Linked DNA regions of Callithrix jacchus. The protein of the gene in region 1 purifies or fractionates together with the protein of each later gene. This does not show direct contact. Links are inferred from orthologs where the notes say so. Each region holds a gene or a part of one and is shown on either strand. Other genes may lie near its edges.

The links.
Region 2: the proteins of DDX21 (region 1) and CDK9 purify together in Homo sapiens (affinity purification with mass spectrometry; 3 studies listed by BioGRID and IntAct, with this or other methods). This does not show direct contact. The link is inferred for Callithrix jacchus from reciprocal best matches to the Homo sapiens genes DDX21 and CDK9.
Region 3: the proteins of DDX21 (region 1) and RPL19 purify together in Homo sapiens (affinity purification with mass spectrometry; 3 studies listed by BioGRID and IntAct, with this or other methods). This does not show direct contact. The link is inferred for Callithrix jacchus from reciprocal best matches to the Homo sapiens genes DDX21 and RPL19.
Region 4: the proteins of DDX21 (region 1) and C1QBP purify together in Homo sapiens (co-immunoprecipitation; 3 studies listed by BioGRID and IntAct, with this or other methods). This does not show direct contact. The link is inferred for Callithrix jacchus from reciprocal best matches to the Homo sapiens genes DDX21 and C1QBP.
Region 5: the proteins of DDX21 (region 1) and DKC1 purify together in Homo sapiens (co-immunoprecipitation; 3 studies listed by BioGRID and IntAct, with this or other methods). This does not show direct contact. The link is inferred for Callithrix jacchus from reciprocal best matches to the Homo sapiens genes DDX21 and DKC1.
Region 6: the proteins of DDX21 (region 1) and RRP1B purify together in Homo sapiens (affinity purification with mass spectrometry; 3 studies listed by BioGRID and IntAct, with this or other methods). This does not show direct contact. The link is inferred for Callithrix jacchus from reciprocal best matches to the Homo sapiens genes DDX21 and RRP1B.
Region 7: the proteins of DDX21 (region 1) and YBX1 purify together in Homo sapiens (co-immunoprecipitation; 4 studies listed by BioGRID and IntAct, with this or other methods). This does not show direct contact. The link is inferred for Callithrix jacchus from reciprocal best matches to the Homo sapiens genes DDX21 and YBX1.

What each region holds. Positions count from the first base shown.
Region 1 is NC_133513.1:61,121,645-61,125,745, forward strand, and holds the start of DDX21 (nucleolar RNA helicase 2), read right to left. Parts: upstream 2,915-4,101; 5' UTR 2,817-2,914; coding exon 2,730-2,816; intron 1-2,729. Other genes in the region: uncharacterized protein LOC100388015, read left to right, coding at 3,228-3,365.
Region 2 is NC_133502.1:176,410,613-176,415,001, reverse strand, and holds the start of CDK9 (cyclin-dependent kinase 9), read right to left. Parts: upstream 2,868-4,389; 5' UTR 2,764-2,867; coding exon 2,672-2,763; intron 2,215-2,671; coding exon 2,133-2,214; intron 1,428-2,132; coding exon 1,337-1,427; intron 989-1,336; coding exon 822-988; intron 722-821; coding exon 550-721; intron 394-549; coding exon 245-393; intron 1-244. Other genes in the region: SH2D3C (SH2 domain-containing protein 3C), read left to right, coding at 3,608-3,860. UniProt on the Homo sapiens protein: Protein kinase involved in the regulation of transcription.
Region 3 is NC_133506.1:119,687,350-119,691,409, reverse strand, and holds the start of RPL19 (large ribosomal subunit protein eL19), read right to left. Parts: upstream 2,891-4,060; 5' UTR 2,829-2,890; coding exon 2,824-2,828; exon of another isoform or gene 2,431-2,823; intron 1,973-2,430; coding exon 1,866-1,972; intron 913-1,865; coding exon 790-912; intron 246-789; coding exon 125-245; intron 1-124.
Region 4 is NC_133506.1:106,968,074-106,972,497, reverse strand, and holds the start of C1QBP (complement component 1 Q subcomponent-binding protein, mitochondrial), read left to right. Parts: upstream 1-1,531; 5' UTR 1,532-1,624; coding exon 1,625-1,865; intron 1,866-2,419; coding exon 2,420-2,570; intron 2,571-4,424.
Region 5 is NC_133524.1:150,505,974-150,510,406, reverse strand, and holds the start of DKC1 (H/ACA ribonucleoprotein complex subunit DKC1), read right to left. Parts: upstream 2,872-4,433; 5' UTR 2,741-2,871; coding exon 2,725-2,740; intron 733-2,724; coding exon 665-732; intron 196-664; coding exon 109-195; intron 1-108.
Region 6 is NC_133522.1:49,330,215-49,334,565, reverse strand, and holds the start of RRP1B (ribosomal RNA processing protein 1 homolog B), read right to left. Parts: upstream 2,917-4,351; 5' UTR 2,820-2,916; coding exon 2,690-2,819; intron 2,331-2,689; exon of another isoform or gene 2,326-2,330; coding exon of another isoform or gene 2,207-2,325; exon of another isoform or gene 2,157-2,206; intron 2,100-2,156; exon of another isoform or gene 1,709-2,099; intron 580-1,708; coding exon of another isoform or gene 536-579; exon of another isoform or gene 454-535; intron 1-453. UniProt on the Homo sapiens protein: Positively regulates DNA damage-induced apoptosis by acting as a transcriptional coactivator of proapoptotic target genes of the transcriptional activator E2F1.
Region 7 is NC_133508.1:79,327,295-79,331,561, reverse strand, and holds the start of YBX1 (Y-box-binding protein 1), read right to left. Parts: upstream 2,892-4,267; 5' UTR 2,753-2,891; coding exon 2,587-2,752; intron 1,911-2,586; coding exon 1,847-1,910; intron 1-1,846. UniProt on the Homo sapiens protein: DNA- and RNA-binding protein involved in various processes, such as translational repression, RNA stabilization, mRNA splicing, DNA repair and transcription regulation.

The DNA.
Region 1 (4,101 bases):
AGATGATCCGCCCGCCACAGCCTCCCAAAGTGCAGGGATTACAGGCGTGAGCCACTGCACCCAGCTTTTCATAAGGGATTTGGATAAATTCATGGTATACTCCAACAGGCTCCAAACTCAATACAGAAAGTCCAAATTCAATCCCAATAGAATAAGGTCATGTATGTCTACAGATTGATGATGTGTTAAACAGGTTTCTTTTCTTTCTTCCTGCTAAAATCCCAGGTAAAACAACAGGGATTTTTTCGTTTTTAAGAGACAAGTTCACTTTTTCTTTTTTTTTTTTTTTTTTTTGAGATGGAGTTTCACTGTTGTTACCCAGACTGGAGTGCAATGGCACGATCTCGGCTCACCGCAACCTCCGCCTTCTGGGTTCAAGCAATTCTCCTGCCTCAGCCTCCCGAGTAGCTGGGACTACAGGCGCACACCACCATGCCCAGCTAATTTTTGTATTTTTAATAGAGACAGGGTTTCACCTTGTTGAGCAGGATGGTCTCGATCTCTTGACCTCGTGATCCACCCGTCTCGGCCTCCCAAAGTGCTGGGATTATAGGCGTGAGCCACCGCACCTGGCCAAGTTCACTTTTTCACAGGCTGTGGTAGAGGTGTGATCATAGCTCACCGCAGTCTCTAACTCCAAAACAGGAATTCTGCACTTTGCCTATCTCACAAGAGCAAATGAATTTATATAAAGGCAGTTTAGGGCCAGGTGCAGTGGTTCATGCCTGTAATCACAGCACTTTGGGAGGCCATGGCAGGAGGATTGCTTGAGGCCAGAAGTCCCAGACAAGAATGGGCAATATAGAGACCCAGTCTCTATAAAAAATTTAAAAATTAGCCAGGCATAGTGGCACACACCTACACTACTAGCTACTTTGGAGGCTGGGTTGGGAGAATTGCTTGAGCCCAGGAATTCAAGGCTGCAGTTACCCATAATCATGCCACTGCACTCTAGCTTGGGCGACAGAGTGGAACTCTGTCTCTACAAAAAATAAGAGATACTTTATGAACCAAAAAGCTATAAAAACTCACAGTCTATCACCCCTGTGTAAAAAAGATGTACTTAATTTAAAATAAAATAAATAAGTTACAAGAATATGGAAGGAGTGACATCTCGGAACCAAGTAAGATAGATGACTATGGCTCCTATTTGAACTTTCTGAGTCTCTACACCTTTTCAAACTACTGAAAACAATTAGACAGGTGTTGCAGCCTCCTTAGAAGCCTGTTCTGGCAGAGCTCCAGAACAATCTTGGAAGTACATATTACACTGAAATCTGCTTCCCGGAAACGTCAGGCCTGGTCTGTTCTCCAATCAAAGATTAAGAATAATCTCCTTGCCAATGAAAAACAAGCTAGTCTCCTTCCAAAATTTCATTCTTTTTCATCCCTTGGTTTCACCAAATAAGACTGAGTTTTCCCATGCTGGTGGTCTCTTTTGGAATGTAACAGAGTTTGGTCATGTACCTCTGGATTTGAGTATGCCAAATTGAACACAATGACTGATGCAGCGTAAACCACTACCTTCTTGCACCCGAGTACAAATCTGCTGCAGCTTCCTACAATTCTAAAATATTGCTGTTGTAAGAGCTCCACATCAAAAGACAGAGAAACCAACAAGGAAAGTTAATTCTAAGTAGTGTACAATAGTTCAAGGACAATCTGTTCTCATTGACTTTATCTCAGAACAGAGACTCGGTCACAAGTTAAATCACTAGAAAGCCAACAGCAAAGCAGCAAATGGCTGTCAAGGTTAAGACTACTGCACACTGCTGGCCTATATAAAAAAATAATGTACACTTAGCACTGCAACATATGCCTTTACATTTCCATGGGAAATCTAGTCAATATAATATTAAGAACTGAACTAATCATCTTCTCAGGGCGGCTTACCGGAAAACAAACTGTACTTCCCTTCCCAAAGTTAAAAACTCACTAAAGGCCGGGCACGGTGGCTCAAGCCTGTAATTCCGGCACTTTGGGAGGCCGAGCCGGGTGGATCACAAGGTCAGGAGTTGGAGACCAGCCTGACCAAATGGAGAAACCCCGTCTCTACTAAAAATACAAAAATTAGCCGGGCGTGATGGCTCGCGCCTGTAATCCCAACTACTCCGGAGGCTGAAGCAGAATTGCTTGAACCCGGGAGGCAGAGGTGGCAGTGAGCCGAGATCGCGACACCGCACTTCAGCCTCCATCTCCCCTTCCCAAAAAAACCGGGGCAACAAAGACGCCGCCCACGTGCACAGATGAGGTTATGATGTCTCCAGTTTGCTATAAAGCTCCAGTTCCAACTATGACTTGACTTGTAATTCCTTTCGCTCACGCTCACGCCGGCAGTTAAATCTTAGTCAATAACGTGGAGCCTGACTGAATGTCAAACTCTGCGCACTGTGTGAGGCGCGCCCAGTAGCCAGGGACCACGTGGGACACCGGCCTTCTCTCGAGCTCGGATAGGGCCTCTCTACCAGAGTTCCTAGGACATGTGGATGCCTAAAAGCTCAGAAGAAGAGGTCAGCGCGCGGCGAACCTGGCTCAGTCAGGCCGACGACGCGCCCACTGCCCGAGGAGCGGACCACTCCTGGGCGACCATCCGCTAAGACCCACGCCCAGTCTCTAGACTCGCTATTCCCCTCCACGCGCTCCCACAATTCCAGCGCAGGCACTTCTCCTGTACCCCAGGGCTCCGCTCCACTCAACGTCCCTCCTTGCCCCAGGTCCCTCCGTTTCACCTTCTCCGTTTGCTTTCGCAGTGTCTCCACTTTTTTCACTGCGGTGACTGACTCCAAAGCAGCGTCACTACGGAGTTTTCCGGGCATCTTCAGCACAGATTGCCCAGGCCGACCGGTCTTCTTAACCGCGTGGAGAGAGAGGAAGAGATAGTTCCGTCCCCGGCGCCCACCCAGCTCTCGTCACTTCCCTTAACAAGGCACTTCCGGCGGAAGCAAGAAGCAAAGGGAAGGGTGCTCTCTGCGTGGAAAATTGAAAGCAGCGGCCTCTGACTGTGGCTGGATTTAGTGAATTGACCACTTGTGGCCCTTGGTCTAGATGGTGGTTCCTTTTAGACCAAGGAACGGTAGAACCACAAGGAACCAAAAGGGTTAGCTTTGTATTCCCCAACGTTGGCCAGATTTTCCCTAGCGCCAGTCTGATAAATGAAGGCTTCTAGTTGTTTTTGAGTGGCGCATCTTCAGTACTTTATCGCTCGAGTTTGCACGTACAGACGCCAGATGTGTGTTCTTAGTCATCTTTTGGAAACATTGACCCTGAAACTGCAGGCAGACTCTGAAGAAAAAAAAGAATTAAGTCGGATCTGGTCGTTCATTCATGCGTGCACTCAAACATCTTGCCAGCGTTCACCGTATCAGGTAGGAGAGACGGCAGGATTCACTAGCAAACAGAAAAGCCTTATCCCCAGGAAACTTTATAGACTAGCGAGAGAGAGAGAGAGAGAAGTTTTGTGGGGGTTTTTTTGAGACAGACTTGCCCTGTCACCCAGGCTGGAGTGCAGTGGCACGACCTGGGCTCACTGCAACCTCCGTCCCCTGGATTCAAGGGAGTCTCCTGCCTCAGCCTCCTTAAAAACCAGCCTTCAATCAAAACCCCTATGTCTCAAATATATATGCGCAAAAAAACAAATTTCAAAAATGGGTTAGAATCATAGAATCATATCTGACATTGAAAATCTGCCTTTATTTGCTCAGGTTTTTTGTTTTGTTTTGTTTTGTTTTGTTTTGAGGCAGAGTCTTGCTCTGTCACCCAGGCTACAGTGAACTGGCGCTATCTCAGCTCACTGCAACCTCTGCCTCTGGCGATTCTCCCAAGTAGCTGAGATTACAGGCGTGTGCTACAACGCCTGGCTAATATTTGTATTATTAGTACAACGCCTGACTAGTTTTTGTATTATTACTAGAGAACTGGGTTTCACCATGTTGGCCAGGCTGGTCTTGAACTCCTGACTTCAGGTGATCCACCCACCCACCTCGGCCTTCCAAAGTGCTGGAATTATAGGCATGAGCCACTGTGCCGAGTCTATTTTTCTGAGACAGGTTCTCCCTTTGTTCTCCAGGCTCGAGTGGAGTGCAATGGCATGATTACAGCTCA
Region 2 (4,389 bases), on another chromosome or scaffold:
GGCTCCAACCCTGATACACGTTACATTTGTTTCACAAAAGAGAAATGCAGCGCTGGCTCAGATGCTCTGCCAAGGCCACAGAAAAGGTGAGGGAACCGAGACTGGCACACAGCCTGTGTGGCTCTCAAGGGCAGGCCCTGTCCCCAAACCAGCCTCCCCTCCAGATAGGAGTGCTCCTTCCATTCCACTCCCCACTCCCCCTCTGCCGGGGGACCTGGATCTCTGTACCCCGTGGACCCCGTACCTCAGGAGTGATGGAGCCACAGAGCTGACTGATGAGGGCGAGCTGGTGCTGCTCCGTGTTGCCCTGCATGATGGGGCTGCGGGTCCACATCTCTGCCATGATGCACCCAGCACCCCACAGGTCAATGGGGGGGCCGTAGTCCCGCTCCCCTGGGAAGAAGAGCGCACCAGGAGGGCCCCTTGAGCCCGAGGGCCTCCTGAGGCTCGATGCCCCAGGGCCGGCAGCTCAAGAAGCCCTGGCATTGGGGGTGGGGGCCAGGTGGATGCCTGGCCCTCACCCCCCTCGGCCCGCTCGGGAGTCCTCACCGAGCAACAGCTCCGGGGGCCGGTACCAGAGTGTCACCACACGGTTGGTGTAGCGGTTGGGCTGGCTATTCTTGGCCAGGCTGAAGGCCCGGGCCAGCCCAAAGTCTGCCAGCTTCAGGACCCCATCACGAGTGATAAGCACATTAGCAGCCTTCATGTCCCTGTGCAGGATCTGCAGGAAGGGCAAGAGTGGCTTCTTCACTCACATCCACGCAGGAGTGGGAACCAAGGCCAGCCCCAGCCCGGGTCCTCCTCCCAGCTCTGGCCCCCACCTTGTTCCTGTGGATGTAGTAGAGGCCGTTAAGCAGCATCTGCATCACCCTCTTGATCTCAGACAGTGTGAACTTGACCAAAACATTGCTCAACAGCCCAGCAAGGTCATGCTCACAGAAGTCAAACACCAGGTATATACTGCCCTTGCAGCGGTTATAGGGGGAAGCTGAGGCAGGAATAGCAGAAGGAAGAAAAAGTCAAGAAAAGCACACCCAACTCACTTTCCCACAATCAGCTTCTTTCTTCCTGCCCCGACCCACAGACACCCATGCCCTCCAGAGCATCCGTCTGTTCCTTCCTTCACTGGCCAAATATTTTCTGAGTGCCTCCTCTGGGCCAGGTGCTGTGGCAGGCCCCGGGGAAGCATCAGCTATGATGACAGAGGACCAGAGAAAGCAGTCACCATGGGTCCATCTGGGTTAAGAAGAGGCAGTTTAGGTGTGTCCAGTTCCAACTCTGCAAACAAAACCTTAGGCTATAAGCGTCATCTTCTCACAAGAGCCAAACAACTTACCTTTGGTTCGACAAATCTCAATCAAGTTGACCACATTCTCGTGTTTTAGAAGCTGAAGGATCTTGATCTCCCGCAAGGCTGTAATGGGGAACTGGGTGGGAGAGGGGGAAGTGGTCAGGAGAAAGCACAGTACAGAGCCCAGCTCTGGGTTCTATACTCAGAGACAAGCTGGGAGACAAAGCAAGAACACGTGCTCTGAAACCAGCTGTCTCAAAAGCCTTATCTGTAAAATAGGTATAGCAGGGGCACACACACCTCAAAAAGATGGTTTCAGACTACAAACTGAAACAGCAGGACTTTGCTACTAGCCACTAAATGCTCCGCGGTTTCAGCCTGTAACTTGAGCTCTACGGGTGTTTTGTTGGCAACAAACATGATGACTTAAAAACGTCCTTGCTAGAGCAGGAAAATGAAGGTTTATGGGAAACTATACTAGAGCTAAGACGCAGTGGAGGGACTGCTCCTTTTAAATACGTTAAATAATTATTAGTCACCTTCCAAAAACCATGCACATATATCTCTTTTACATTAAGCAAAATATAACACTAAGAAAGAGGTGTTTAAAGGCTTCCTAACTTCGTGTGCACACGATGCAAACATTAACTCCCCCTCCCGGCCTCAACTATAACTGCCTAACAATGAAGCATTTAGGTTTTAGGGTGGAGGCCAAATTCCTTGGAAATTTCTAAACTGCTACAAACAAAATGAATCTCAACCTGAGACTCGTTGAAGCAGCAGGGTGGAAAGCCAACCCGGGGTCCCGGGTAGTTAGACCGCACGCCCGATCCGTACTCACCCCCTCCTTCTCATTTTCCATCAGCACCTTCTTCAGAGCCACCTTCTGGCCGGTCTTGCGGTGCTTGGCCTTAAACACCTCCCTGCAGGCGGAAAGGGAGACCCGAGAGAGCTCATCAGGCCGTTTCCGCAGGGCCCGCCCCTCCCCCACTACAGGAGGAGGGGCAGCAGCAAAAGACTCCCGGGCGGCGCTGGACCGGGTACCCAGAACACGCGGCTACCCCACGCGGTACCCGACACCCGGTCTCGTTCAGAGCCTCTGCTTTCTCCCCTCAGTCCCTTCTCCTCACTTGGGCGTCTCTTGGAGAGATCCCACTCCCCTGACGGTCACTTCTCTGCAGCCCCTCCCCGCCCCCCACCAAGGGCCTCAGGCTCCTCCCCACCAGCCGGCTCCGTCAGGCCCGGGCGGGGTGCGGCACGGCCTAGAGACTTGTGGACAAGCCCAGAGACAGGCGGTTTCTCTACCACCTCCAACCGGGTCCCCGGCGTCCAGACGGGGTGCAAGCCCAGTACTCCCATCCCCGAGGGGCACAGCCTTACCCGAAGGTGCCTTGGCCGATCTTGGCAAGCTTCTCGTATTTGGTAACTTCATCACAAAAGGGGCACTCAACTGAGTCGTACTGCTTTGCCATGGCCGCCTCCAGCGCGCCGCCGCCGCCCCCAGCCGCCGCTGCTGCCGCTCCCGCTCCGGGTCCCGCCGCCGCGCTCCAGGCCCCTCCGCGGCCGCGCCACTTCCGCCTCCACGGCCACTTCCGGCCCCGCGGCGCCGACCCCGCCTCTTCCGCCCGCCGCCCGCCGCCAGGCCCCCTGGGACTTGTAGTTCCCGGGAGGCCAGGGGGAGCCGGAGCTGCAGAGGCGCCTCCGCCGCCGCCGCTGCCCCCGCCTCCGCCGCCGCCACTACTGGCGGCGGCCCCGATCGGGGGCGCGGGGAGCCGGGGCGCCGGGGCTGGGGCTCGGGGCGGCGCGTCCCGCTGCATTGGCCCGGGCCGCCGCTGCTGCCGAAGCTGCTGCCGCTCTGGCGCCAGATCCGGGGCCAGCCGCAGTGCCCTGCTCCTCCTCCTCCGACGGCGCCGCCTCCGCCGGGCTGCGCGGGGCGGCGGACGGGGGGGCGACCCCCGAGCCGCGGCCTGGGGGCTCCCTGGCCGGGCCCGAGCGCGGGCCCGGGGCAGCCGGGCGAGGGGGCGAAACGGGAAGAGCCGACTAGGAGGTGGCCCGAGAGCCCGGGAGGGGGCGCGTTATAAAGGGGGAGGTGCCCTGCCTCGCCCTCCCCTCCTCCTCCGCCCGCCCCCTCCCTCCTCCCTCCCACCCTCCGCGGCCGCACCTGCCGCCGCCGCCACCGCCCGCCCGCCCGCTCGCTGTCCGCCGGCCGCCCTAGGCGCGTCACCGCCCGCGGCCCCTCCTCCGCCTTCGGAGGTGGGGCCCCGCGCTCGGCACCTGGCTGCGGGCGCCCCGCCGCGTGCCTCAGTTTACCCCCACATGCCCGCTGCCGTGGAGAGCCCCTTCCTCCTCGGCTCGGAGTGCCCCCCCGAGAGGCGAAGGCGGGAGGCGCGGAGGGAGCGTCCTCCGGCCCTGGGAGGAAAGAACTGCCCCCGCCGCCGCCTCCCCCGGTCCCCGCCACCCGCCGTTGACATGGCAACCGACGGCCGCCAGGGGGCGCGGCGGCACTGGAGACGGCGAGCAAGCAACGCCCGGGCCCTCTATTGCTGGAGCGCGGCTCTTCGGGGGGCAGGTATGGGACCCGCAGGATTCCCGCTTCCGCCGAGGAGCGCCAGAGCTGGTCTGGCCCTGGGTCAATAATCGCAAAAAACAGCTGCCATTTTTCTCAGCTCTCTCGTGTGCTCAGAGTGCTGGGCGTTCCCGCCGAATCCGGGATCAATTGCCCCATAGTCAGGATCACTAACCCATTTTGCCGAAGAGGACATTGAGGCTCAGAGTGGTGAGGTCGTTTGCCCAAGGTCACACGGCGGCAAAGCTGGGACCCGGACCTGGGTGTCTGAGTGTGAAGGGGACTCTCTTGATTCACGCCATTTGCGGTTGGGCCAGTAGGAGAGCAGTCGGGAGACCTGCTGTCCTTATATGAGGGTGCAAGCTCACCATTCACCCTCCTCTTCTCCCTTCCCCATTGCGCCCATCCCTTCTCCCTCCGCCCCCATCCTCCTGGTTCCAGTGGTCTCCAGATTCCCCCTCCAGCTCTGCCCAAGGACCAGCCTCCAGCAAAGCCGTCTTTTCTGCCTCTGCCCGGCTGCAGTTTGCCCCCT
Region 3 (4,060 bases), on another chromosome or scaffold:
AGACTGACTCCAAAACAAAAAAACCAACAAAAAAGCTCCCTACCAAGGGCCAGTAAGACAGTGTCCGTGAAAGAACAAGCCATCAAAGCAGCAAATGGGTACTGGGCCCGAGAGGGCGGCTTACATGTGGCGATCAATTTTCTTAGATTCCCGGTATCTTCTGAGCAGCCGGCGCAGAATCCTCATTCTCCTCATCCACGTGACCTTCTCTGGCATTCGGGCATTGGCTGTACCCTTACGCTTACCTGTGGAGAAGATGAGTTAGGAATGGGCCACTGTCTGTAATACAGAAATGAATATAGTTTCAGGGTCCTTAACTCATTTAATCCTCACCACCTCATTTTAATTAGCATTAATTCCATTTTCCAATGATGATCCCAACTACTCAGCTCCGTCATTTACTCAATTTTAAAGGAAGCACAGACATGGCAGTAATTCCCCATTCACTTCATACAGAATGTGGGTTTAACAGGCAGTGCACCAAAACAGCATAGCCCGTTGTAAGGAGCTTCCCTCAATCATTCTGACACTAGAAAGTAATTTTAGATTTACACAGACAACATTCTCAAGGACCCAGCAGAATCCTTGGCATAGTATAGGTAGGGACTTAGTGAATGTGACCTCCTACCAGCAATACTCTCAATTCCAACACCAGCACCAACTTTCTGATTTGCACACAGGCAGAAAACACATCAAATATCAAGGAGTAGGAAATGAACTCAAGATGAGACAGAGTGCAAAGATCTTGAATATATTTCAGTGTAGACACCAGCACCCATGATTTCTTACCTATGCCCATGTGCCTGCCCTTCCGGCGGGCCAAGGTGTTTTTCCGGCAGCGAGCCCGGGAATGGACCGTCACAGGCTTTCGGATGATCAGCCCATCTTTGATCAGCTTCCGGATCTGCTGACCTGAAAGGAGAGGCACTGCTCACATTCTTGGCTCCATGGTCTCAAAAAGGATAGAAATACTGCAACTTGTTTATTTCTTGCCTCCGAAAACCAAACAAAATCTCTATCTTTTCTTTTTCCTTCACAAACAGAAGTTGTGAGAGATACTGTGTCTTTCAGTCTCCCTATGTTGCCCAGGCCCATCTTGAATTCCTGAGCTCACGATCCTCCTGCCTTAGCTTCCCAAGTAGCTAAGATTACAGATGCCTGCCACCATGCCTGGCCTTTTCTACTTTTTAAGTATATTACAGCACACTCAAAAGAAAGAGCCTGATACAATGACTCCTCCATTTCATACATCCCCTGAATAATGAGCTTTCCTAGGTTTGTAAAGTCAACACAGGCTAGGTTGTGTGGTGGCTCACGCCTGTAATCCCAGCACTTTGGGAGGCTGAGGCGGGCATTACCACCTGAGGTCAGCACTTTGAGACCAGCCTGGCCAACATGGTGAAACCCGATCTCTACTAAAGATACAAAAACTAGTCAGGTGTGGTGTCATGCGCCTTAGTCCCAGCTACATGGTGGGTGAGGCAGGAGAATCGCTTAAACCTGGGTGTGAATGCTTGGACCCGGCTGCAGTGAGCTGAGATCTTACCAGTGCACTCCAGGCCGGGTGACAGATTGAGACTCTGTCTCAAAAATAAATAAATAAAGAGTAAATTAGCTAGGCGTCGTGGTGCACACCTGTAATCCCAGCTACTCGTAGAAGGCTGAGGCAAGAGAAATCATTTGAGCCTGGGAGTGGGGTGGGGGTTGCAATGGTAAGATGGCACCACTTAACTCCAGCCTGAGCAAAGAGGGAGACTATCTCAAAAAAAAAAAAAAAAAAAAAGGGCAACAAAATTGTGTTATCATTTATCTGATGCAGGACAAGGGAAGGAGATAGGGTGAAGAGGCAAATCCCAGGTACTCACGCGAGTTAGCATTGGCGATTTCATTGGTCTCATTCGGATCCAACCAGACCTTCTTCTTGCCACAGCGGAGGACACTAGAGGCGAGCCTCTTCTGAAGCCTGAGCATACTGGACGCACAGAAAACATTACTAGACCCTGAAAGCCAATCCTGGGCAAGAATGAACGTTCCCCAAGACCCACCCTTTGCCACCCACACCACAGCTTCGAACTCAGACTCTCCCCTAAATCATCTTTAAGGCTCTGGGCTGTGCAGCTGGCCCTCCTGGGTTTAGACTTTGAAACCCAAGCTATGCCTTTACCTCCCTGAGCCTCATGTTTGCATTTCTCTCCTCTGGAAAGTCAGGCCAGGGATTTATTGGAATGAACAGGGGGCTTACGATATTTCTGGTACTCAGCATTTGAAGAATATTCGAGGTGAGTAGACTTGATTTCTAGTCTAGAAACGCAGGCAAGTTACTCTGCTTTCTGGGCTCATTTCCTCGTTTTATCACAGTAACAAGCCACGTTGAGCCATTCATAGAGATTTCCTTTATGAGTGGCCAAAGGAATGGAAAGCGTCCATCACCTCACTCAGCAGTCGAAGGCCTGGTGCCTACGCCAGGCTTGCCCTACGTCACGTGAAAGCAGACATCTGCTTGGCTCTGGTTGTGCCCAGCAAAAAAGGGTCCACGGCTCGGTCCAGTTCGCTGCCTTTGTTCTGCCCGCGTGGGTCGACCCGACACGTGTGCGGCGTGGCGCCTGCCGGGGCAGCCTTTCCGGGTCTCAGCGGCTGCGACGCTCCCCGCTCCCCCCACTCCGGAGGCCTGGGACGAATGTGCGCCGGCCTACCCCAAACTCCGAGACCAGCCGCTTTAGGGCGGCCTCCAATCTCATCTCCCCTAACCCCGGCTGCGGTCCCAAGCCCGACCATCCCCTGCCGGAACGCGTCATCGTCGGCGGGAGACCCACGGGCCCTTACCTCATGGCTGCGGCAGCAGCAGCGAAAGGAAGGAGCTCGCTTGGGCCTGGCTCCTCCCATTATCTGCAAAGGGGAGAGCCCAAACCCCGCTCCAATTTCGTCTGTATTCCTGTCCGGTTCTTTCATCTTCCGCCACCCCAAACTCACTCATAGCCTCCACAAAGACCTGGAATGATAAACGTCTAATATAGGAAATCGGATTTAAACTTAAAAACATAGAAAGTGTACCCCTTCCGTAGGGAAAGTGGTATAGTCCTACTTCCTACTAGACATGCGCAGCAAAGGCACCCGATCACGTGATTATTTGTAACCGGAAGTGAGTTGGATTGCGCAGGCGGAGTGAGAGAGATTTTGCTAGAGGCCTGGTGTTTGTGGGCGTTCAGGGGGTTGCGGATGCGTGTTTTATTGGCGGGAAAAAAATCAGTTAAGAAGCGAGAGAGAATAATGACAGCAGATATCAGACAAAGGCGATCTCTCATTCACTCTCGTAGTAGATTGAAAGCCCCTGGAGTGCAGAATAGATCACTGAAAGATGTTAGTTTTTACGCCACTGCGGGTCTTTAATCTCTTGGTGCCTCAATTTCCTCCTCTGTAAAGTGGACCTAATCCCAATATTTCTGTCATCCAGTTGTGAAAATTACTTGAGGTAACGTTTGCAGTTAGCAAAGGAAGGCATTAAGATAGCCGACTCTTGGAGGGTGGGAACCAGTCTCATTTGGCTCACAACTGTACTGTGGCAGACATGGATCTTCGATCGAACACACCTGAGAAATACTGCATTGGTTGCATGGACGAATGATTGCAGAAAAAAAAAAAGAAAAAAAGGGCTGGGCTCGGTGGCTCATGCCTGTAATCCCAGCATTTTGGGAGGCCAAGGTGGGCGGATCACTTGAAATCAGGAGTTCGAGACCAGCCTGGCCAACAAGGTGAAACCCCGTCTCTACTAAAAATACAAAAATTAGACGGGCGTGGCGGCGGGCGCCTGTAATCCCAGCTACTTGGGAGGCTGAGGTGGGAGAATCACTTGAACGTGGGAGGCGGAAGTTGCAGTGAGCCGAGATGGCGCAACTGCACTCCAGCCTGTGGGACAGAGTGAGACTCTGTCCCCCCCGCCCCAAAAAAAAGTCAGGACCACTCAGTTCTTTTCTTCTGATCTGGAGCACTCAACGCAAAAATCCAATCAGAGCATTCTGGGGTTTAAGAAGTCTATATCTGAATTGAGGCTCCAACTGATGAT
Region 4 (4,424 bases), on another chromosome or scaffold:
GCACTGTGGGTAAAACTGATTATGTACTGTACTGTGATATATAAATCCTAAATCCAGCTACCAGGAACTGCCTGGAACTGTGGCCATGCATTTTTTTTTTTTTTTTAAAGACCAGTGTGATAATAGGCCATGCATCTAAGATAGCATTCCTTGGTAACTAGAGGGAGGAGGAAAAAAATCAAGTAGGTTCAGGCTTTTGTTTGTGTAGAAATAACTACAGAAAGCTCTTGTACATAATGCTCAAGTTTGCACCCGATGATCAAATCCATTAAAAACTAATCTTACATGATGTGTGTGGCTCGTTTTCTGAATCTCCTTTCCGTTATTCATTGAAAATTGTTTAGAAAATAGCTTTTCTTTTCTTATAAAGGTGTCCTGTGACTCAGGAGTGTTCAGAAGATATTAAGTGTTAGTCTTATCATGAGTTAGTAAGCCATACCTTCTTGGTAGCTTATATGTCCTGTGTATCCTGAGAAGGTGGGATTCTTGGTTCTTAATCTAAATCTGAACCCCCTCTTTGGGTTATATGAATTTACTTGAGCCTCTCACAGAACTCAGGGAAACACATTTACTGGTTTAATGTAAAGGATATGACCGAGGATGCGGATAAGGAGATGAGCTCCCCTCCCAGGGCTACAGCCCTCCAGGAACCTCCAAGTGTTTAGCTCTCAGAGGCTCTCCAAACCCTGTCCTCTTGGGTTTTTATGGAAGCTTCCAAACTTCAGCATCTCTTTCCCCAAGGTATAGGGTGGGACCTTCTCTGGGGAGGGACTTAAGACCCACAATCAGAAATGTGGGGGGAGATGAGAGTCCCGCTATGGGGCCTGTGAAAGGGGAGGAGGAGGGGAGAGAGATTCTATTCTCTGAGGCCTAACACACCCAACATTATCACAGAACACTGTAACAAGGGCTGTGAGAGTTAAGAGCCAGGAACTGTGGATGAAAACCTATACACACACACACACACACACACAGTGGATGAAAACCTATACACACACACACACACACACTGGATGAAAACCTATACACACACCGTGACACCACAGCCTCCCAGGAACTGTGGATGAAAACCTACACACACACACACACACTGGATGAAAACCTATACACACACCGTGACACCACAGCCTCCCAGGAACTATGGATGAAAACCTACACACACACACACACACACACACTGTAACACCACAGCCAGGAACTGTGGATGAAAACCTGTACACACACACACAGAAACACCACAGCCTCCTAGAGGAAAGTGACCGTGTAAGGGTCTGGTAAGAGCTGAGGGGAGACAAGAGTGCATTCCACGCAGCCCAAAAACGGTGTGGCTTGAGACCAGTAGATGGAAAATGTCTAAGCAGCCACCGAAGGGAATTAAACAGCTTCGGACAGCGGCCTCAGGCTAACGCAGCAAGAAAGCTCGCGGAAAAAATTCGAGGCTTCCCGGGCTATACCGGAGGTCTCCAGCAGAGGGCGCGATTCCTCCCACTGGCCTTAGGTCTTCAGAGCGCCGGCGCGGGAAGCGCTTCCTGACGGGGCGGGGCTTCCGGCAGCGGGCTAGGTCGCGGGGAGCCTAGAGTTGGGTAGTCCTTTGCGTCTGCACGTGTTCCTAGTCCTCTCCGCGATGCTGCCTCTGCTACGCTGCGTGCCCCGTGTACTGGGCTCCTCCGTTGCCGGCCTCCGCGCCGCGGCTCCCGCCTCGCCTGCTTCGCCATTCCGGCAGCTCCTGCAGCCGGCGCCCCAGCTCTGCGCCCGGCCCTTCGGGCTGCTCAGCGTGCGCGCAGGTTCCGAGCAGCGGCCGGGCCTCCTGCGGCCTCGCGGGCCCTGCGCCTGCGGCTGTGGCTGCGGCGCGCTGCACACCGAAGGTGAGGTTCATGCTCGTGGGCCAGGGCTGTTGTTGGGGTTTGCGGTCTACGAAAGAAAAACGTAGACCAGGAGTGGCGCCTGCAACCGACCTCCGAGATCTGGGACATTATTCCATTGATTGGCAACCAGCGGGTTAAACCCACGTGTGATCATATTTCCCCACCTCGCCTTTCCACAAGTTTCATTTTCTGTTGGAACGGGGTAGATAAATACTAGAGGGTACCTCTATCCTTAGCTTTAGTCTCTCAAAAGTGGACCTTTGGGAAAGCCCAAGGTCGTGATTGAAAATAGCATAGTTAAATCGTTTGGCAGTGGAAGAGGATGCCTGGAAGTTCTTCTGCTTTACAACAGAAGGTGGCAATGCGTTCGCTGTTGGACGTCCTTAGCTTCGCAATACTATTGTGTTATTTTTACAGATAAGGAAACTGAGGCTTCCAGAGTAAGCATAATAGCAGAGATTAGAAACAGGCCAGATTTCTGGCTACAATAACTTGGGTAATAATTTTATGTTTTAGACTAACTGGCTTCCCTTTTAATGTATCTGGATTTCTAGGAGACAAAGCTTTTGTTGATTTCCTGAGTGATGAAATTAAGGAGGAAAGAAAAATCCAGAAGCATAAAACCCTCCCTAAGATGTCTGGAGGTTGGGAGCTGGAACTGAATGGGACAGAAGCTAAATTAGTGCAGAAAGTTGCTGGGGAAACGTAAGTACTGGTCTGGGGATTCCAGGGCACCAACTCCATTACCCTGCAAGACCCGTCGTGGATCATCCCCAGAAGAGCCTTGAGTTCAGGTGTGGATTCTTTGATAAATGGTTTTCAAGCGAGTGAAGGATTCATTTGGACAAATTTATAAGTTCCAGATAGTTGATTCACTGAACACAAATTTGCTGTGGGCTGATTACTAAGGAGACAAAAATGAACACAAAAAAGTACTGGCAGAATCAGATTGATCTCTGGTTTACAGCGCCAGTAAAGTAGGACCCTGGTCTCTTAATGTCCAGAGTGGGTGAAAATGCAACATGTAACTTCTGTGTAACAGAATGGGGTTACACTGTAGTCAGGGCTGCCATCAGAGGTTGGGAGTTTGTGACCTAAGGCAGCTCTCCCACCTTCTAAGCTAACTGTTGAAGTGTTTACAATTTTTTTGCATTATAGTCATCCATAATCTTATTACACAGATAAACACTTAGTATCTTCCAGGTTTTTAAAATTGAATTATTTTATAATAGACCTTATGATGTATATATAACTTTTTTTTTTTGAGAGGAGTTTGGTTCCTGTTGCCCAGGCTGGAGTGCAATGGCATGATCTCAGCTCAATGCACCCTCTGCCTCCCAGGTTCAAGCGATTCTCCTGCCTCAGCCTCCTGAGTTAGTTGGGATTACAGGCATGCGCCACCACACCCAGCTAGTTTTGTATTTTTAGTAGAGACAGGGTTTTGCCACGTTGGTCAGAATGGTCTTGATCTCCTGACCTCATGATCCGCCCACCTTGGCCTCCCAAAGTGCTGGGATTACAGGTGTGAGCCACCTCACCCAGCCTTTAATTATTTTTTTAAGTGACAGCTTTAATGAGATTTAATTTATATACCATAAAATTTACCCATTTATTGAAGCTTATTAAATTGTTTCTTAGTCCTCATAAAATTATGCATCAGATACCACTAACTAATTCTAGAACATTATTGTCATCTCCAAAGAATACCATTAGCAGTCACTCCTGATTCCTCCATCTAGCCACTGCAGGCAATCACTAATCTACTTTCTCTATAGATTGCCTCTTTTGGTCATTTCATATAAACAGAGTCCTACAATATGCAGCTTTCTCCCTACCCCATGGAGTCTTGCTCTGTCATACAGGCTGGAGTGCAGTGGCAGGATCTCGGCTCACTGCAACCTCTGCCTCCTGGGTTCAAGCAATTCTCCTGCCTCCGCCTCCTGAGTAGCTGGGATTATAGGCGCATGCCTGGCTAATTTCTGTGTTGTAGTGTTGGCCAGGCTGGTCTTGAACTCCTGACCTCATGATCTACCTGCCTAGGTCTCCCAGAGTGCTCCAATTACAGGTGTGAGCCACGCTGCCCAGCCTATTTACCTTTTTAATTGTTGGGTTTTAAGAGTTCTTTAGTTTATTCTGGGTATAATTCTCTTATCACATTAATGATTTGCATGTATTACTTCCCATTTTGTGGGTTTTCTTTTCATTCTTGGTAATGTCCTCTGACACAAAAGTTATTTATTTTGATGAAGTTCATTTTAACCTGTTTTTTTTTTTTTGGGTCACTTGCGCTTTTTTACTTTTTACTTTGCTTTTGATTCACCAAGTGCAACTTGTGCTTTTTTAGTGTCACATCCAAGAAACCACTGCCTAATCCAAGGTTGTGAAGATTGATGCCTTATTTTTTTCAAAGCGTTTTCTAGTTTTAGCTCTTAGTTTAGGTCTCCGATCCATTTTGAGTATGGTGTAAAGTAAGGTCCTGATTCGCTTTGCCTATTGCATAGCGTGTTTTTTCCCATACACAGGTCAGTTGTGTCATCATTTAAAAACCATTTGCACAAG
Region 5 (4,433 bases), on another chromosome or scaffold:
TCATTTCAGATACCTTAAGGAACCCTGCTTTAAACACTATCAGTTGTTTAACACTTGGAAATAACATAAAAGCAGACATTCACCTGATGCCTGATCTTAACCACATACCTTTAGCAAAAGGGGCCACTGAGACGTGTCCAACTTAGCAACTTTGGATTCAGGTTTGATAAGAAATTCTTCAACGTGTTGTATTTCCTTCCACAGAAGAGAAATATAACCTATTAGACTTCCCACCCGATTTTGAATAATTCCATTGCTACCACGGAAATGTGTGCCTTTTAAATAGAAAGTAAGGCTTTCTATGCCTTTTCAGTGGGACCTCCAGGGGAAAGAGAAGAAATGAACCAGGAGTACAGAGGGGAAGTGAAATGCCACTAAGATGGGTCCAAAAATTTAAAGAGAAAGGGGGATAGTGGGTCTGTGGGTGGGATAAGGAAGAGAAATTCAGAGACAGCAGTTGGGAAGCCCAGCACCATTTAGTAAGCTATGCCTGAAGGAGACTTGGACTGTCTGGGGCTGTCATATCAGTACTTTTTCAAATCTACACAATGACCACCAATCCTGGCCCATTCTTGGAAACCTTTAAAACACTTCTTTCCTTTAGTTTGTTATTTAAGTAAACCTTCTTTTTAGTCAAAGTGAAGTCAAACACATTACTACTCACGGCTACATCTTCTTCTGGCAATGACTTCCGCTCCTTTTTCTTCTTATGTTTCTTTGGTAAAATAATCACTAAAAAAAAAAACAAACACAGGATTTGAGAATTTTCCCCAAGAATAAATGAGCATGAGTTTAAAATAAAAACCAAAATTAGGGGTAGGAAATGGATCTTAGGTCTACAATTACAGTCACATGCCACATAATGTTTTGTTCAAGGACAGACTGCAAATGTGACGGTGGCCTCCATAAGATTATAACAGAGCTGAAAAATTCCTGTCTCCTAGTGATGTCTTAATGATCCTGACCTGTGTACGTCAAGGCTACTGTGTGTGTTTGTGTCTTATTTAACAAAAAAAAAAAATGTAAAAACAAAAAAAAAGTAGAAGAGTTATAAATAAGGATATAAACAGAGAAAATAATTATGTACAACTGAATAATGTGTTTAAGCTAGGTGTTATTACAAGGGTTGAAGGAAATAGTTTATAAAGTTACAGTAAGCTAAGGCTGATTTATTCTGAAGAAAAATATATTTTTATAGAGGAGGGACAGCGGGGGGTGGGGAGTTGGGGAGAGATAGCATGGGGAGAAATGCCAGATATAGGTGAAGGGGAGGAAGGAAGCAAATCACACTACCACGTGTGTACCTATGCAACAATCTTGCATGTTCTTCACATGTACCCCAAAACCTAAAATGCAATAAAAAAAAAGAAAAATATATTTTTATAAATTTAGTGTAGCCTAAGTGTACAGACTTTATAAAGTCTCCAGTAGTGTAATGTCTGAGGCCTTCACATTCAGTCACTGACTCAACCAAAGCAACTTCCAGCCCAGCAAGCTCCATTTATGGCAAGTGCTCTCCTCTACGGGTGCACCACTTTTAACCTTGTGTACTATATATGCATACACATTTGAGATGCAGTTTCACTCTTGTTGCCCAGGCTGGAGTGCAGTGGTACAATCTTGGCTCACTGTAACCTGTCTCCCAGGTTCCAACGACTCTCCTGCCTCAGCCTCCCCAAGTAGCAGGGATTACAGGCATACGCCACCATGCCCAACTAACGTTTGTATTTTTAGTAGAGACAGGGTTTCACAATGCTGGCCAGGCTGGTGTCGAACTCCTGACCTCAGGTGATCGGCCTGCCTAGGGCTCCCAAAGTACTGGGATTACAGGCATGAGCCACCATGCCCAGCCCTGTACTATATTTTTACTGTCCTTTTTCCGCTTAGACATGTTTAAATACACATCGTCTCGACACTGTGCTCCAACTGCCTATAACATTCCCCACAGTACCATGCCGTGCAGGTTTGGAGCCTAGAGCAATAGGCTCACCATATACAGCCAGGTGTGTAGTGGCCTATGCCATCTCGGTTTGTGTAAGAGCACTCCGACGTTCCCACAACGATGAAATTGCCTAACGACCCATTTCTCAGAAAGTATATCCGTAGGTCAGCGAGAAAACAAAGTGTGTAAGGCCAAATATATGGGTCGCATGGCTGGGTAACTGCCTTCCGGTTCACCACGTGGCTATGGCAGGGCTTAAACATCCCACAGAAGCGCTCACGCAGGGGACCCGACAGTTCCATAAGCGACCACTCGACTCTCCCCGCCAGCTTGTGGCCTCTAGAAGTTTCTTGCAACTCGGAGCTATGTCTGCTCACGGGTCCCCCGGCTCCTTTTCTTCTCGGCCCGTTTCCACCACCCTTGCTCCCATCGTCGCATGGAGCTATACTGGCGGCGTCCGGGCTAGCAGCAGCACAAACGCTGCCACGTCCCCCGCCACCACGGGGTGGGCAGCACGACAGATGTCTTACGACGAAAACCCGGACCCCAGGGAGGCTTGTCATCGGTGAGAGGCCCGAGCCCCGCCATACCAAGTCACCGCGAGGGACTCCCACTCCCGCCGTCGCCATCGAGCCAGGGCCGAGCGACAAGGCCGGTCGGCTAAGAGGCCGACGCGCCGGCGGGAATCAGAGGGAGGTGGGCGCGGGCCCGTATACCATCCCCCATTCCCGGCTCCCCGAGTCGCCTGGAGTTAGCATAGTCCGGACGCCTGCAGCCCTTACCTTCCGCATCCGCCATGTTACCCTGCACCGCGTGCGTACCGCCTGGTCCACGGCCCGCAGAACTACCGCAGACTCCCGCCGCCACAGTCCAGTGAGGCCGCGCTGCTAGGCCTGCCCCTCCGCGCACAACCCTGTGCGTGCCTCGCCGCGGAGCGGGAGGGGGCGGGGCCTTTCCCGGGGCGACCCGAGGCGCTCGGGCGCGCGGATCTTCCGCGCAATGCGATTGGCTGGCTCAGCCAGGGTCGCGCCACCGCGCCTGCGCCTCGAGCCTCTACCAGCCCGATTAGCCCCGGCTGGAAGCGCTAGTGCCGCCCTCCCCGGCAGCCCGGAGTCTGTGGGCGTGTCCCCAGCTGTCGTTGGTTTACCTCCGGGTTTACCTCCGCGCCTGCGCCTGGGCTCACGGCTGAGCGCTGCGTAGTCGGTAGCTCTTTGCTTTCTGACACTGACTCTCTCAGCTTGGTGTCGGATTAGTCCTGATTCAAAAGTGAACATGTTGAGGCTCGGAGAGATTGAAAGCCTTTTGCTGCTTGCAGTTCCCATCCAGCTAGAGCGGATGGCCACTAGGAGCAGAGCATGAGCCACATGTTGACTTTTTCTAGCAGCTACATGGAAGAAGAGTGAAAAGAAAAGGGTGAAATTGATTTTAATAATGAATTTTTTTAACCCAGCGTATCCGAAATATTATCATTTCCGCATATAGGCAAAACACAACTGCATGAATGGGATATTTTGCTTTTTTTTTTTTTTTTTTTGGTCCCCACAAGGTCTTTCCGGTGTGTGTGTGTTTACTGTCACAGCACACCTCAATTGGAACTCTACGACCAGGCTTCACGCCAAACAGCAGAGACAAAGCACTGGCACTAAATCTCATAGAAACAGGATGAGCCTGGGTATCATGATAGGCAGCAAGGCTGGAAGCTGGAACCAAACTGATTTCTCCCCAGGGATCTTTGGTGCTGTCTAATTGATCGTGGTGTCCTATAGTAAGCCATCATGATCTGTATAACCCCTGTAACGCTAGATCTGGCTAAAGGCATCCTGTCTTGAATCACCACAATGGAAAATCATGGTGCCTCATCTAATTCCCAGATCTAGACAGTCCACAGGCCAGAGCCTGTGAGGTAAGCCTGTAAAAGTGAGGCCAGGCACATGTGTGTAGTTTAAGCCTGCCTCCTACTTTACCCTGGGACCCATGGACATTTACCAGAGACTTGCACAAGCTCGTGTTAATCCCTGGGGAAGTAGAATGCCACTGTCAGAAGTGGAGTCAGCCCATGTCCCTTTCACTCTCAGCCACCCTGTGGCTCTCTCCCCACTTCTTGAATCCATACTTAGAATAAACACAATTGGTGGCTGGAAAAATTCCCACAGGGGCTTCCTGACTCAAGGACTGAGGGTGATAAATGAAGGAAAGATCAAAGGAAGCCTCTGCACATTATCATAATTGAGTCCCTGGGAACTGATTTGATCATCTCACTGTACCCCCAGACATCATGTTGATGCATAGGAAGTGGCAAATGTCTCACCACAAGGTGAGAGATAAGCCCCTTGAAAATTCAGGGAGGTGACACCTCAGTGAACTTTCTGGGCATCCAGTGGGCTGAGACATGTTGAGATGGTCCCTCCAAAGAGAAAGACAGGTTGCCTTACCTGGAACCCTCTGCTTGCTAAAAAAGAAGCACAATACTCAGTGGGCCATTTTCTGGAGA
Region 6 (4,351 bases), on another chromosome or scaffold:
GGGCAGCGCTATGGCGGAGACCTTGTTTTCCTGTCCGTTATCACTGCCCATGATGCTCACAGTGCAGAGTTATTTTTTGAAGGCCCACTGTCCTCCATGCAATGTGGTGGTGGACAAGATGTACGAGTAACCCTGGGTGTGACAGGCACTAAGCAGACAGGACTCTGGGGCACTGGTGTAACTGGTCTTCGGCCCCTGCATAACCCCAGCATTTGCAAGTCCTGGGCTGGCTCACCAAAGGGTTTGAGCAAAAGGCTCTCTGCCTAGGCTGTCTTAGCCCCATACGTATTGCTTTCGGTCTTCTGCTCTTGCACAGGTCAGGACGTTTTATGGCTACATGTACTCCCACTTCTGGCTAAGAAAACAGATGGAAACTTACAGTGTCTCTGGAGAAGAATGACACATTAACAGATAAGTAAGAAGCAATGTAGCTAAGCACTACAACAAAGACACAGTAGATGTTTTAGAGCCCTGGAGGAGTAGGGCGAGGAAGGCTCTTTGGAGGAAGTGATGCCGAACTGAAGGTGAGGAAGACATGGGATCCTTTGCAGAGCGAACAGGAGAAGCAACGCCAGAGAGGTGAGAAATTGTGTGTTGTACGCCAGGAACCACGAACGCTTCTGCTGACGGAACACGAAGCAGTCACATGGGGCTTAGGAGGAAAAGCACCTGAGGACAGATCATGACTTGCAGATACTGGATTTCAAAAATATTGGTGATGTGGGATCAGATTTGTTTTAGGAAGATGACCCTGGGCTGGTCTGTGGAGGAGATTCGGGGGGGGGGGGGACACAAATGAAGTTAAGGCAACCAGTTAGGGAACATGTAGGTGCAGAAGTCCGGGGAGATGCAAAGGGCCTAAGGTCGGAGAATGTATTTCAACAGGAGGTGAAGGAGGTAGGGCTGAGGGGCACTGGATGTGGGTCAGGGCAAGAGGATGAGGAAGACAGAGGAGTCCAGGACAATCCTGTGTGTCTGGCTGGAGTCTGAGTGGCTGGTAGAAACTAGCAGCTAAAAGAAGAGAAAACAGGTGGCAGAGGAGCAGCAGCAAAGAGGCTTTGGGGGGAAGAAAACGGGCCGTTTTTTGGCATTCTGAGTGTGAGGTGCAAGGTAGAGACGTCAGGCTAGCAAGGCTCACTGGAGCTGCAAGCAGGAAAGGGCTGGGTCAACAACTTAGCTTTAGAAACCACCAGCATACATGGGGTACCCCGAACTGTGCCAGCAAACAAAATCTCGTAGGGAGACCCTAATGGAATCAGTCAGGAATTCTGGTTTTCTTTCCTTTTCCACCAGAGTTCCCAGGAAAGCGTATTTTCTTTTTTGGGGTACTCGGGTGATTTCTCTTCAAAATAAAACAAACTGAGAATATCAGTGGTGGGGAGATACTATCTGCTCTTCTAAGCAGATTCTAATGTATTAATACCAGCAGCAGCTAAATCACACTTAATCTTGCTGCAGCGTAAAACCTCTATCACACATTGTGGTTCATATCATATGGGCTCACTCAAGAGTTTACAAAAAATATTTTTGGATCAGGTAAGTGAAATCCTTCAACAGCAGTGCTGTGTGATCTGGCCACTGCCTACATCTCCAGCTTCATCTCATAACACTTTCCCCCTCCCCAGCTTACTGGTCTTTCAACCACTCCTAGGGGAGGGCATTCACTCCTTCCTGTCACGGCATAGGTGGTTTCCGCCCATCTCTCTTCAGATCCCAGCTGAACATCACCCAGTGAGGCCTTCTCAGAACAGCCTCTCACGAAGAGCAACCTCCTTCACTTTTTTTTCTATTACCTGTTTTTCTTTCTTTCTTCTCTCTTCTTCTTCTTTTTGTTTTTAGAAGACAAATTCTTGCTCTATCGTCCAGGCTGCAGAGCAATGGTGCAATCTCGGCTCACTGCAACCTTGCCCTCTCGGGTTTAAGCAAGTCTACCTCCCCAGCCTCCCGAGAAGCTGGGGCTACAGGCCCGCGCCACTGCGCCTGGCTAATTTTTGTATTTTTGGTAGAGACAGGGTTTCACCAAGTTGGCCAAGCTGGTCTCGAACCCCTGACCTCAGGTGATCCGCCCGCCTTGGCCTCCCAAAGTGCTGGGATTACAGGTATGATCCGCCATGCCCGGCGTACTACCTGGCTTTCATTCCCTTCACTACACTTACACGAGGTCTACTTTATTTGCCTGATTGTCTCCTTGCTTTATCACCAACAGATCCTCCAGAGAAGGGATTTTGTCTTCTCGCCTGCAGCCCCCGCACGTAAAGGTGCTGGTCAAAGAAAGGCGGGAATCACCGGCGGGACAGCAGGGCAGCGCAGTGATGCCAGATGCCGGTAAGCTGGGGAGGGGGAGAGTGTTATGAGATGAAGCTGGAGATGTAGGCAGTGGCCAGATCACACAGCACTGCCGTTGAGCTGCATCAGGGCAGCCCAGTGATGCGAGATGCGGGTCAGGGAATCCGCCCCATGTGGGTCTTTTCTCAGCTTCCCCGCTCACCGTGACTTTCGCAAGTAACAGAACCCCCTCAACCTGTTTCCTCAACTGTAAAAAGGCACTAGACAGCAAGAAGCAGTTCTGGCAGCGCGGAAACCGGAGGACACTCTCGGTGTCACGACAACGCATGGAAGCCGCGTTCCGCGCCGCCGCCCCTGCCCCGGGCCCGCCATGTGGCGCGGCTGACCGCCGCCGTGCGCCCACCTGTCTCCCTCTGCGTCTTCACGCTGATGTACTGGCGCAGCTTCTTCACCGCCCGGTCCCGGATGCCCTTCTCGCTGGACGCCAGCCGCTGGGCAAACTGGATCTCGGCCGGCTGCATGGCGGGGGCCATCGCGCCCGCTGGGGCATCCCCGGCCGCGCAACCCACAGTGCCGCTGCCGCCAACCGTGCACCGCTGAGCCGTCGCCGTCCGCACGAGCCGCGACTGCGCAGTAGGCGGCGGTGACGCGCGGGCTGATGGCGTCACAAAGGCGCCGGCGCTCGTGGTGCGTTCTGGGAGTGAGCGCGGCCCTGGCCCTGGCGGCCGTCGTGGCGGTCTGTCCCGCGTGTGCTTGGCTCCGTCGCTGCCTTTCGATTGCCAGAATTGAGGCTGTAGACGGCGAAGTTAGCCAGGGTTAGGACTTGGCCGGGAGGAGACGGACGGATGTTGGCAAACGGTCTAGGAATTTTTATTTGTTTGACACAAGGTCTTGCTATGTCGCCCATGCTGGAGTGCAGTGGCGCGATCTCGGCTCACTGCAGCCTCGACCTCCCAGACTCAAGCGATCCTCCCACGTCGACCGCCGGAGTAGCTGAGACTACAGGCGCGCGCCATCACGCCCCGCTAATTATTATCATCTTTTATAGAGACGGGGTCTCGTTGTGTTGCCCAGGCTGCTCTCAAACTCCTAGCCTCAAGCGATCCTCCCGCCTCGGCCTCTCTGAGCGCTGGGAGTACAGGCTGCAGCCACCGCGCCTGGCCACGGTCCAGGATCTTTTTTTTTTCTTTTTGAGACGGAGTTTGGCTCTTGTTACCCAGGCTGGAGTGCAATGGCGCGATCTCGGCTCACCGCAACCTCCGCCTCCTGGGTTCAGGCAATTCTCCTGCCTCAGCCTCCTGAGCAGCTGGGATTACAGGCATGCCCAGCTAATTTTTTGTATTTTTGGTAGAGACGGGGTTTCACCATGTTGACCAGGATGGTCTCGCTCTCTTGAGCTCGTGATCCACCCGCCTCGGCCTCCCAAAGTGCTGGGATTACAGGCGTGAGCCACCGCGCCCGGCCCGGTCCAGGATCTTTAGTCCCCTTTAGCACACCCCGTTGGGCCGGCAGCTCTCCTACGAAGTTTTTAATTGTGGAGCCTCCGGGTCCCCCCGGGTGGAGTCGAGAGTGGAAGGAAAGGCCGGCACTGGGGCCTGCTGAGCGGGTGGAGAGCGTTCCTTTCGCCAGCGCCAGCGGAGCCTCGGGCAGCTCGGCACGCCCCTACCCCGGAGCCCTGGTGCCAGTGCAGGGGCGCCCGCGCCGGCGTCCCGAGGCCTGGAGAGCACGCGCGCTTCCCGGGGGAGCTGGGCAGGGCGGGCTGCTTGGGAGGGAAGAAATCAGCTTTGGGTTCATGTATAACCCGAGGCCATCCTATAGCTTGCGGACTCGGCAGGCGTTAATGGCCTAGATGACTCCAAACGTAGTGTGTGGGGGGTTATGTACGTTAACCCCATTCAGTTATCTGGGCGACCTCCCGAGATGCCTGTGGCCAAATTCAACCCTTAATATGAAAGCGCCTGAATCCCAGCGAGGGAAGGCGGGCCGCGGAGGCGAGTTTCCAGCCAAGATTGCCCGTTTCAACGCAGTCCCCCTTAGGGCAGCACTCCCCGCCAAGCAGAAAGGA
Region 7 (4,267 bases), on another chromosome or scaffold:
AAAAAGTGTCAGTCATTAAAACAACCAGTTCAGAAGCATAAAGAACATTTTAACCAGTCAATTTGACAAAATAATTGAGGTTAGGATAGTCCAAACAAAAGACCATCAAAAGCCAATTCACAATTTGCCCTGGAGGATGACCAATTGAGTTGATTCCAATTCAGAACAGAGATATTCAATGAATGACACCTCATGAAATACTTGTAAGAATTACTCTTATTTTGGATAAAACTTGATTTTTAAAAATGTGATAACCTATGCCACTCAACAAAATGTAGCGAAACATGGCACACGCTAAACTTCATACATACAAAACTGCAATCTACCCACTGAAAAGGCTGCAAATCTGCACACCAAAGTTACCATTACATTGGGTCAAGGGTTAAAAGCAGTGATTTTGAAGGTATGGCTCACATTATTCTTGCTAAAAAATGTACCCAGACCTAGGCAAGCACACTTAAATCTGAAAAACACTGGTTGAAGGGTTAGACTAGTTCGGAGACTCAGAATAAGACAGAAACACAAACTAAAACACTAGTAAGTTCAGAAAGATCAGTTAAAAAGCTATCAGTATATCAATCATATATAAGCATTCCCCTCCTTCCTTGCTAATAAGCTATTATCAAAAAATTAATGAAAAACATAGTTACAGCCACAACAGTGGCAACAGTATAGAAGGTTGGAAAATCCTAAGATTTTGGAAGAAACAAAACGTTTTCCCACAATTGCAAAAGTAGAGAATAGACCATCAAATGCTTCTCTCTTACTCTGTTTCCACGATAATGTATGATTGATTAATGAACGAACGGTTTTTCATCAAGCTATGATTGTCTGTCCTTAAGCTTGATTTCGTCCATTTGTTGTCCACTCCACAAACATTCTTAATTGTTCTTTTAATCATCTGCTTAGGTCTTCTACAGTAAGAGAATGCTGAGATGGCACTATGTACCATACCTATAAGGCCAAGATTCCTATTGGCATACCCAGGGCTCTACACTCATGTAAACTGCACTACTAAGCCTTGGCAGCCATCTTGAAAATGATGCCTGGCTCACAAGGGAGCCCATGGAATCCAGTGTACTGCACATTACCAGCAACAACCCGAAAGTAAGTCCTAAAGATGGAGCCTGCAGCTTTGCCTTCAAGCAAGAACAATGTCAAGTTACCAGGGACTATGGCCACTCTAAGCTATAGCCAGAAATCTAATAGAAATCGATTTAATCAGTATGATTTTAGGACAAGGAAGAATGAAAAATAAGAACTGAAGAAAGCAAAGAACCATTTTCTAGCAGATACATTATTCTATGAGCAAATAAAAACAGCTTCTCTCTGGTGCTAATATAAAATTTATCTAAGGTATTACAATGAAGGTGAAAAAGGCAACACCTCTCGGTAAAGATGACAAAACCTCATATACTTGGCACGTCAAATCTTACCCCCAAAATGTTAACAAGGTGTAAATATCCGATGTCAGTGGATCACTCTCTCAAACACCGAGTTCAATCAAGTAGAAAAGGATAACAAGGATAAAAATGTACAGGACCGTAGTTTCCCGTTTACCCTGTTAAGGCATGGCTCATTCACTTTGCTTGCCTTTTAAATTGCTTTGTACTGTAAGAAAGCCTTTGAAGTTGGCTTCAAATTAACATTTAGCTGCAAAACAAAGACCTTCTCTAGATCCACTAATCCCTCCAGTCGTCAAGGAATTAAAAAAAAAAAAAAAAAAAATCACACTAATACACCAGAGGTAGTAAACGCCCTTCGGGGCTTCCCAAGCGCCAAGAAGCCGACAGAGCAGGCAACAAGCGAGACAGTGGGATGGAAGCTTCAGGGTCCGGGAGCTCACCTGTTGATGAAACCATATCCGTTCCTTACATTGAACCATTTTACTGTTCCCAAAACCTTCGTTGCTGGAAAAGAAAACAAAGCAAAACAAGCCACGATTACCACCTATCCTTTTCCAAACCCGCCCGGCTTCGGTCTCCGGTCCCTAGGACGCTGCCCGCTAGGCCACCTGACAGCCCTTTCTCTCCACCTCCCGGGTGCCGGGCCACGCCACCACCGCCGCCGCCGCACACGTGGGTGAGTCTGAAGCCGCGGGGCGCTCCAGGGCAGGCCCGGGGCGCGGGCCCAGAATGGGTGTGTGCGCAGGCCGCGGGCGGAGAGCACGTGAGGGAAGGGGAAGCCGCCCCGGCCCACTCCGGCCTGCGTAGGCGGTGCGCCGCGCCCTCTGAGCACACGCGGAAGGGAGCTGGGTGGGGGAGACGCGAACAACGGCGTGCGGGCCACAGCGCACGAGGCCGGTCGCGGGGAGGGGACCCCGTCGCACACGCGGTTGGCGGGCGCGCGACCGCAGGGGGAGGGGCGCGCGTCCGCGCGGGGTCCACAGGGGGCGCAGGAGGCAGAGCGCGCGCGCCTGCCGGGCGGGCCCCCGTGAGGATGAGTGGGGGTGCTGGGGGAGGGGCGGCCGCGCGCCGCGGAGTCGGTCCCCGCCGGCCGCGCGCCCGCCGGCTCGCCCTGCACAGGCTAACGGTTCCGCTGCCAGGCTGCCCGAGGGCCCCACACCCGTCCCCGTCCGGCCCTCACCGATGACCTTCTTGTCCCCGCCGGCAGGCGCCGCCGATGTGAGGCCGCCCGGGCCACCGCTCCCTGCGCCGCTGCCCGTAGTGCCGGGCTTGGTGTCGGCGGCGCTGAGGGCGGGGGCGGCGGGGGGGGCGGCGGGCGGCTGCTGGGTCTCGGCCTCGCTGCTCATGGTTGCGGTGATGGTGACTGGGGCCGGCTACGGCAGCTACGGCTCCTCCCGGGATGTGATGGTAACTAGGCCGGCGGCGGCGGTGGGGCTGCTCAGGGCTCTCTGGGGTCCGCTCTCCGCTCCCGCTACCGATCGAACTAGCGAGAATGGCGGGACAGGCGGGATAAGCCCTACGATCGACCCGCCCTAGGCGTTGTTCACTGGCCACTGCTGCTGTCAATCTGCCCACCTGACCCCAATTCCTGGCTTCTACTGGATAATATTTTATCAGTTCTCCACTCTCATTGGCCCTTTGGCGGCTAATTCAGCCGACCTACAACCGTTCCTGCCTCCGCCGGCCGCCATAGAGACCGGAACTAGAATTAGAGTAGTCGGCCACAAAAACCATAGAGTACCCGAGAGGACGGGCAGAGAGAACGTGATTTCCACGAGGCAGCCGCCGGGCTGGCTAGCCCCACGTTCAGGGTTGTGTCCCAGCTGAAGAAAAGGCACGCCCGAATGCTGGGCAGGAATTACCCGGCCGGACCCGAGATTGGAGGGGGGCCCGACTACGCATTAGCCCTTCGTAAAGAGAAGGCTTCCCTCCCTCTCTGCTCCAAATACAGTCCTTGTGATCTGAGAACATGACTGCAGGCATAAAGTCATCTTTTCTTTAATGGCCGTGTTGTGGCGGCACAGCCTATGGTTTCTGGAATTGCCTTAAACGTATGCGTTTGAGGAGCTTACGCTTTTGTCGGAGCAGTCACCTTGGAGGGACCACGCAGGCTCAGACAGCCTGGGCTCAGCACGTTTAGCATGTTTAAGGCGAGGGTGTGCTCCATGGGGACCTGCCTTCTGATCCGTTTTACCAGGCATACACATGTATTAAAAAGAAGTGTCTTCGAGTGTTCATGTCTTTTTCTACTGGCCACAAATCAGATTTAATTCAACTCACATTTATTGAACAAGCTAGCCTGTTTGGTTTTTCCATTTTATTCCGACAACAGCCATGTGATAGAAGGATTACTATCCACGTTTCACAAACGATAAAATTGAGGCTGCCACCTGATGTTACTGAAGTCCTCCACCCACCGTCTTTCGTTCTTTTTTAAGCGTCTACTATCGGCTGGGGATGGAATAGTTCTCGAGTCAGTTTCTGCCTTCTGATGGCGGCAGGAATTTAAACAGCTAGCACTGGAAATACTCGAGAGCTGCAAAAGCACGAAATATTGGGCCGGGCGTGGGTTCACGCCTGTAATCCAAGCACTTTGGAGGCCAAGGCGGGCGGATCACCTGAGGTCGGGAGTTCAAAACTAGCCTGACCAACATGGTGAAACCCCGTCTTTAAAAAAATAAAATTAAATTAAAAGCACGAAGTATTTTGGGAGTGGAAGCAGGGAGAAGGTGGAGGGCTGACTTTCCGCTCACAGGGTACAGGCGAGAAGAGGTGGGATCTCGGGAAATGCAAGTCAAGTAGTTCAATAAGACTCCAGTGTGGCATTGGGTTGCAGAGGTGGGCAGGGTCACAGGTATATT